Notamacropus eugenii: one gene and its partner. The main gene of each other region encodes a partner of the protein of the gene in region 2 in a complex. Links are inferred from orthologs where the notes say so. Each region holds a gene or a part of one and is shown on either strand. Other genes may lie near its edges.

Region 1 (3,907 bases), on a different chromosome or scaffold from region 2:
GTAAATTACAACACCATAAAACAACGATGTCTTATTACACTGGCAACTTTTTTTAACAGACAAAAAGATGTCTACCTAATACTTATCAATAATATCTCTGGAAGGGTTCTAAGGGCTCTTTTTAAAATAGGTGCAATGTTAACTTCTCCCCACCATATAGGCAAATCTTAAAGACTTCAGTTCCATTCACCAGTCGGTGTCAGCCAGTAAGAGGTCATACTGAACACAAATCTGAAAAACGCACTTGAGAGTTCTTTTAAGAGGCCTCATTTCCATAACTTCGCCTTTCTCCCTCTCACAATGCCTCTGGCGAACACGTATACTGAAGTTTAAACGAGTTCTCATTTTTCCAGAGGAGACTGCATTGTCTCAAGCCCTTTACACGTATTTCAGAACACACACGGTCCGAAAGCGTTCCCAGAGTAAGTGCTGCGTTCTGTGGCTCACGCTGGACTGCTGAAGTTTCTTGAAACCCCGCAGTCTTCAGCCCCTCAGGAATCACACCCCAAACCACACTACGGGAATACGACAAGGACAGCGGCCTGGACAGGGGAGGCTCCAGCGCCCCGGCCCTTAGTTCCAATCTTACAACCTGAGAGGGGAGGCCGCGCTTGGGAATACCTGGGTCCCCAAAGTGAACGGGGGGCGAAGCCCTCACAGTAAACATACCACCTACTCCCTCCTTCCAGCCTCGGAACCACAGAGGGGGGAAGGGACGGCAGCGCGGGCAGTGCTGGGCTGAGTGGGAGTGGGGCAGGGCGGAGGGGGGCCAAGCCGAGATAAGGACGAGAGGAGAGGGGGTGGCAGAAGGGAAGAAAAGGCCATTTTTCTTCTGCGCAGGCCAACGTCTCCAGCCAGCCAAACACCCACTTTCTTCCTTAACAAAAGGTCCCCTCCCAGCAGGGGGCCTGGGGCTAGTACTGAGGGTTTGGGTCCGGGCATTAAGAGTTTGGGGAGGGGGAGGGGTCTGTGTGTACCTACGTGTACGGAGGGCGCCGCAAGTGGGGGACGTCCGAGTTAGGGGGGGACAGAGAGGGTGTGTGTCTGCGTGTGCGCGAGGAGGGAAATGGGGGGGCCGATCCGAATTTTGGGAAGGGGAGCAGTGTGTGTGCACAGGAGGGTGCTGCCAGGGGTCCAAGTTTTGGGGGGATGGGAGGATAACCGCTCCGAGGAAGGGCGGGGGAAGGCGGCCGGTATCCCGTGGGAAGTCTGGAGTCGGCTCGTCAAACTTTCTGGGGAGGGGGAGAGCGGCGGCGGGGGCAGGGCCCGCCCCTTCCTCGGTCCGGCGGCGGGGGGCGGGGTTGAACTTGACCGGGTGCCCCCACCCCCGGCCCTCACAATGGCTGCGCCCCCTCCCCTCCCTCCCCCGGTCCCCTCCCCCGGTTCCCGCCCGGGCACACGCACCACCCCCCCCGACAGCCGCCCGGGGGTCGCGGGGCGCCCCTCCCCACCTGGTGGTTGTCCTTCCGGCCGCCCGCGGCGCCTGGCTCTCCGGGGCCGCCGCTCATCATGTTCATGTAGAGGGAGCGGGCGAGGGGACTCCGCAGGGACCGGCCGGTGCCCGTCCACATCCTCCTCGCCAGCCACAGCGAGACCAGGGTGAAGCCCAGCCAGCCCAGGAACAGTCTCATGGGGGGCCGCGGGGCGGCGGGGTCGGGGTAGCTCCGCGGCTCAGCCCCGCCGGGAAGGAGGCGAGAAGGAGGCGCCGCCGCCGCTGCTGCTGCTGCTGCCGCTGCCGCCGTCGCTGTCGCTGCCCCCGCCGCCGCTGCCGCCCGCCGCGGCCACTCTCTCCATCGCGCCCAACTTACCCATCCAGCCCCTCCGAGGCTCCGGCGGGGGGTGGGGAGAAGCGGCCGGCGAACACCCCAGCCCGCCTCTCCCTCCCCTTCTTCTCCCCTCCCCTCAGTCCTCCCCCACACCCCTGCCCCTCTTCCTTCTTTCGGCGGAACGCCGTTTCCGGCAGTGGCGGTTTCCGCCCGGAGCGCGTTTCTAGGGGCACACCGTGGCTCCCCAGTCGTGGTTACTGGATTCGTTTGGTCTCCGGCTCGAAGCCGGACGCGGACGCAGTGCGCGCACCGGAAGCGCCTCCTCAACCAATCAGCTCGCGCGGGCTCGCGCACGGAGGCCGCGGGAGCGCGCTTGCTTGCCCAGCGGGGCCCCTCTTAGCCCCACGCTAAACCCTTTCGGGCCCATTGTGTAGTGGCTGCGGAGGAAGGAAAGGCAGGCGCACGGCCCGGCACAGTGGGCCCTAGCGGGCGTTAGGCGCGCTGTCGGCTCCCGAAGGCACGGTAGTACTCAAGCCCTTTTCACTTCTTCCTCTGCCCCTCAGAAACCGGGGCAGGGGCCGGGGCGGACCGCCCCCACTTCCGCCTGCGCGGCCCATGCCGGCCGGGGCTTTAGGCGGGGGTCTGTCCCGCGGACAGCGCTGTCCAACTTGCCCTTTTCTCGTTCATCTGTCCTAGGGGTAGTCGCCTGCTTCCACTCTTTGCTCCTTGGTCTTCGCAGGCAGGTGCCAGACAAACCAAAGCTTTCACCCTCTCCCCTCGCAGAGCTCCCTGAGGTTGGCACTGGGGTCTAGGGTTGGCACAAGGGGCGACCGCCCTCACCCGTCTCTTCCACCGCGTTTCAAGGAGGCTGCCTAGGGCTTGCGAACGATGGCTTCTCCCCGCTTAAAGCCTGAGGGTGCCCTCCAAACTGGGGAACCTCAGGCTGGGTGTTGGAACCCGCCGGGACACTTGAGGGTAAAGACAGGAAGCCGCTTGTCACTTGAACCTACAGACCGTCTTGTGTGCGTGAAAGGGTCCACATCCTTCTTTAATTGTTGTTATTTCCCCAAAGAATCATAAGGTGTTTCTCTCTTTAAGGTCGTCAACCCACCTGTTATAAGTCAGTTGGGAAGGTAGGTAAACCAGCAGATCGAACATCGAGTCTGGAGTCAGGAGGTCTTATCTTACTGAGTTCAGATTTAGCCTCAGACAGTAGCCGTGCAACCCTTAAATCTGCTTGCCTCAGTTTCCCCATCTGTAAAATGAGCTAGAGTAGGAAATGGCAAACCACTGCAGTGTGGGTCATGAAGAGTCAGAAACGACTGAACTGAAAGTGTGTTAGTCACTGTGCTAAGCCAAGGCAAAACAAAAGCACTTTTAAAAGTCCCTGACCTTAAGGAGCTGGTAGTCAGATGGGGTGAAAGGTATTATATAGAAGATCATTTTAGAAGGCACTAGCATTAAATCACTAGTAAAAAGTTCTCTCCACAATAGAGTATCTCTACAATACTACTAAAACCTTTTAAAAACTATTGTTTCAAATAAAAATTTATTTTCCTTTCCTTCCATGTTACCTCCTCTATTGGAGAAAAAAGAAGAAAAAGAAAAACTAAGTCCTTGTGAAAAATACAGGCAAAATGTTCTTGCATTGGCCATGTCCGAAAACATGTCTCATTTTGCCCCTTGATTCCATTATCTTGCTGTGAGCAAGGTATCCCAATTTTAGTAAAGTCTGAAATTTTTCTTTAATAAGAATTCCTTTCCAGGGTTTTTAAAGACCCTATTTGATATTTTGTTATTGTTCAAGTGACCTCTTGGACTTGTCCATGGAGTTTTCCTGGCAAAGATATTAGAGTGGTTTGCCATTTCCTTTTCGAGTGTCTTCCCATTTGGCAGGTGAGAAACTCAGGCAAATAGGGCTTAAGTAACTTACTGAACATCTGTACACAGCTAGTAAATGCCAGATTTGAACTCAGAAAGATGAATCTTCCTGACTTCAGGCCAGGTGCTCTATCCGTTGGGACACCTAACTGCCCTAAAAATTAATATTTAGTTTTAGTTAAAAATACATTTAATCTTAGCTAAAAGTAAATGTAATAGAAGGTCAAGATGTTGGAGGAAAAGGAAGTAGTGAAGCTTAG
Region 2 (3,907 bases):
TGAGCCTCCTTTCTCCTTTTCACATTTAAGCTGTTTCACTGGACCATCATTGGGTTCTCTGCCTGCTCCTCTTCTCCTCCTTGCTCCTCCAATCTCTTTCTCTTTCTCTTCCTCATCTGAACTCTGTTTTTCCTTGGAGGACTCTGAGGAAAGAAAAGAATGATCAGAATGAAGAGATTTCCCCACTTCATTCAGAGACAGACTGAACCCTAAGCCAGGAAGATTCCTAGATATCTACCACCCCCCTGAAATCCCAAGGCAGGAGAATGAATTATAGGGAAAGAGGTATTTCTAAGTCTTACCATGTTGGCCATGCTCATGTCCATGTCCATGTCCGTGTCCGTGTCCATGTCCATGTCCTCCCTTCACATGTGTCACAAATTTCTCCACCACAAGAAAGGCAACAATTCCACCGAGAACCCAGAGCCCAACAGAGAGAATGGGGCCCTGGTCTGAGGGCAGGGAGACAGAAGGATGCTAAGACAGAAAAATAGTCCCCTGATTCCCCCACATCCTCTGGCATAATGTTGGGGAAAGTGGGGGAGATAGTCAAATACCCTCCCCCCTACCTCAGGCCCAGACTTTGCCCATTCCTCCCTCCCATTCCCTCCTCACGGCTATGAGAGTGTCCATGTCCTGGCCTTTCTTCAAGTTGAGGTTCCATATCCCCATGATGAGAATGAGGTTCTGAGGAAAGAAGGTCAGAAATATCAAGCATGTGACATAAACATCACAGCCAATAGGGACTCTCAAAGTGTGAGGCAAAGTAAGATTGAAAGGCAATGAAGGTTAGAGATCACTCACCCAGGGCATGAGGTATCAGATGCAGGAAGGCATCTCCCAGAAGTCCCCCTGAGGCAAAGCTGAGAAGGATCTGCAGGAGTGAGCGGTGCTGAGGGGAATTGGATTCCACAGGCACAAGAAATAGGATGAAAAATGGAGCCGCTGAGATTAGCACTGTTGCCCCCAGAGCCTAATAAGTTTGCGATTAAGGAAATAAGTCATGGGTGTGAGTTAATTACTATACAAGGGTAAGATCCCACACCCCACAACCCCTTCTACTATCCCCATTATTCTCTGAGAACTCACATATGCCCAAAGACTGACAGTGTCCAAGTCCTGCCCACTGCCTAGAACCTCAGAATCCCCAATGCCTTTAGACCTTTGTCCATATTCATGAGCATGGCTGTGTCCATGGTCATGAGTGTGACTTCTGTGTCCATTTCCTTCATGTGACTGTCTATTGTGCAAGGGGTCAGACTCATAATAAAAGCTCTCATGTGTGTGGCCATGGTGTCCTGGTGCATGGCTGTGACCATGATGGAAATCATCATGCAAATGTCCATGGCCATGATGCTGGAAATCTTCATGGGAGTGCCCATGGCCAGGATGATGGAAATCCTCGTGGGAGTGCCCATGGCCAGGATGATGGAAATCCTCGTGGGAGTGCCCATGGCCAGGATGATGGAAATCCTCATGCGAGTGCCCATGGTCATGATGGTGGAAATCCTTGTGTGAATGGCCATGGCCAGGATGGTGGAAATCTTCATGCATATCTTCATGCAGGTCTGCGTGGACCCCAAGTCCAGACACCAGCAGCTCTAAGGCAACCCAAGTCACCAACCCCACAGCTGCCCAGCATCTGGCCCCTGGGGCTCCGTGAGCCATGGCGATTATCTAGAAAGAAAAGAGACAGTGACCCTTCTGGGTCCATCCAAGGGGTCTACTTCCCAGTATGGTTGCTTTCCTATTCTCCCAAACCATGGTCTGTAGTCTTTCAGTCTCCTTCCCACCTGCACCCACCTCCTGCCCCCTCCCCAATCCCTGGTCCCCGGGAAAGTCTTGCTAGTTTTCGGGAATTCCGGTTTAGTGTTCCCTCTAAGCCACCGTCTCTACGGTACCCGAAGAGGATAAAGAAACTTTGAATGCAAAAGGAGGCTAAAGTCTCACCGGCGCCGGGGTTTTCTCGCTCCCGGTTCACACGGACGGACGTGGCACTCCCGCGTTCCCCGCTCCCGCGAGAAGAGGAAGTCCCACCCTTTCTCCGCCCCTTTCTTTACCCGGACAGCGGCTCTCTCGGCGGCAGCTACGGGGAAATTTATCCCTTGATACGCATGCGTGTACGGAGGAAGTGGGCCACCCGGAAAGAACGGAACGGGCTCCTCCATCTTGGTGAAGGGCGGAAGCTAACTCAAGGGCTTCCTGTCCTTACCTAGATGTCTGCCACCATGGTGCTGCCATCTTAGAGTAGGGCAAAGTGAAGTACCTTGTTCCGCCAGCTCTGGCGCCCTATTCCAAGACCCTGGCAGTATCCTGCCCTTCTCTCCCGACCCCAGAGTTCTGTAGGTATCCTCCCCCAAGTCCTTCCACACCTCCTTCTGGGGACCATACCGTTGGTTGCTTTGCCCTCCCTCACGGATCCTTCTCTAACCCCCATGCCGCGGGGCAGTGTGGGCCTGTGGGGGAGCGTGGCGCGAAGCATTGTGGGGCCGGGACCCGGTGGTGGCGGCGGCGGGTGGAGGTGGCGGCCGGAGAACAACAAGCCCCGGAGCCGGAGCCGGGGGGAGCGGGACGGGACGGGATGGGCGACAGCGGGCGGGGTGAGTGGTCGGCAGGGTAGGGCCAGGGCGGGCGGGCGAGCGACGGTGTTATCTGCATGTCTTCTTCCCCTTTTACATACACCCACGGGTGTCTTTGCCTACCGTCTCCCCTCCCCCTTCCCTGCCGAACGCCCAGTTTATGGGTAATCCAAACGCTGGGAGGGTCTCGCTCCCCGTGAAATCTAGAGTCTGGAGTGGGACGAGGGAGCGTGGACAGCACTCTGCTGGACTCGGGAGGGATTGGAGAGGAGGAGGGCTGGGGGCGGAGCACGTGTCAGGGAGGGGTCAGCATCTTCCAATCTGCCCCTCTGGGCGACCCTGACCTCGGAGCTTGGGCTGGGGTTGCTGTGTAGGGGGGTGGTTCGTGAACGGCACTTGTGTTCCCACCCACACTGGGACGAACCAGGCTCCGGACCGAGACCAGCTAGGCTAGGCTCCGGGCCACCCCAGCCAAGTTCAGATCTCAATGGCACGGTCACCCTTCTGTCACTCGTAGACCTTCTGCCGCTGTCCCACGCCTCCAACTCAGTTCTAGGGAAAAGATCCGAGTTCGAATGCTAGCTTCAACCCTTACCAGCTGGGGGTCCTTGAACAAGTCACTTTTCCTTTCTGGGCCTCCGTTTCCTCATATGTAATGCGAGAGGGTCTCTAACATTCCATTAAGTTGGGTCCCAAATCTTTTTCCAGTTCAAGAAGAATAGGAGTTTCTCATTTTACTCCTGCTCTCCCCTTTCCCCACCCCCCAAATCCAAAGCACTCTGCAACTTCCTAACCAAAAGGAGTGCCTTCTTCCTGGCCTGGGGCTGGTTTGGGCAAACCAAAAAAATGATTAAAGGCAAATAAAAGTGTCTTCACTTGAGTTGGAGAAAGTTTAAAGTCTCCTTTTATCTTGTAACCCCAGTGCCTACAACAGGGACTTGCACATACTAGGCTCTAAATAAATGTTTGTTGAATTTGAATTGGAGTAGTTGACCTGCTGAAGACTGATTATCTCTCTCTCTCTTTTTTTTTTGTCTCTCTATATCTTTGTCTTTGTTTCTGTCTCTTCTCTCTTCCCATCCCAGACTGTAGAAGCCCAGACAGCTCCTCCCTGAGCTCATCCCCACAACCCCCTCCCCGGGGGGGCCCTCCCCCTTCTCCTCCTGGGCCCCCCCTGGCTCCCCTACCCTCTGCAACTTCATCCCTCTTAGGAACAGGGGGCCCACCCCAACTCCCACTTGGCTCCCCCTTTCCTGTCATCAGCTCCTCCATGGGGTCGCCTGGGCTGCCTCCCCCAGCCCCTCCTGGACCCTATGGCCCTGTCAGCA

Evidence for each region.
Region 1: the proteins of SLC39A7 (region 2) and METTL9 are in contact, whole or in part, in a crystal structure (PDB 8GZE), measured with the Homo sapiens proteins. The link is inferred for Notamacropus eugenii from reciprocal best matches to the Homo sapiens genes SLC39A7 and METTL9. Residues at the interface, in NP_001070984.1 of Homo sapiens: Gly65, His66, Thr67, His68, Glu69; in NP_057109.3 of Homo sapiens: Arg114, Thr115, Asn118, Arg123, Gly124, Met126, Met179, Asn210, Asp213, Arg214, Val241, His245, Tyr247, Glu249, Trp255, Tyr295, Leu296, Cys297, Glu298, Asp300, Tyr306, Val307, Leu308.

What each region holds. Positions count from the first base shown.
Region 1 is NC_092874.1:396,486,243-396,490,149, forward strand, and holds the start of METTL9 (protein-L-histidine N-pros-methyltransferase), read right to left. Parts: upstream 2,469-3,907; 5' UTR 1,632-2,468; coding exon 1,452-1,631; intron 1,218-1,451; exon of another isoform or gene 982-1,217; intron 255-981; exon of another isoform or gene 187-254; coding exon of another isoform or gene 154-186; intron 1-153. UniProt on the Homo sapiens protein: Protein-histidine N-methyltransferase that specifically catalyzes 1-methylhistidine (pros-methylhistidine) methylation of target proteins.
Region 2 is NC_092873.1:89,187,505-89,191,411, reverse strand, and holds the start of SLC39A7 (zinc transporter SLC39A7), read right to left. Parts: upstream 2,453-3,907; 5' UTR 2,392-2,452; intron 2,343-2,391; exon of another isoform or gene 2,288-2,342; intron 2,087-2,287; 5' UTR 1,951-2,086; intron 1,678-1,950; 5' UTR 1,669-1,677; coding exon 1,090-1,668; intron 974-1,089; coding exon 805-973; intron 688-804; coding exon 616-687; intron 453-615; coding exon 303-452; intron 144-302; coding exon 1-143. Other genes in the region: RXRB (retinoic acid receptor RXR-beta), read left to right, coding at 2,582-2,600, 3,665-3,907. UniProt on the Homo sapiens protein: Transports Zn(2+) from the endoplasmic reticulum (ER)/Golgi apparatus to the cytosol, playing an essential role in the regulation of cytosolic zinc levels.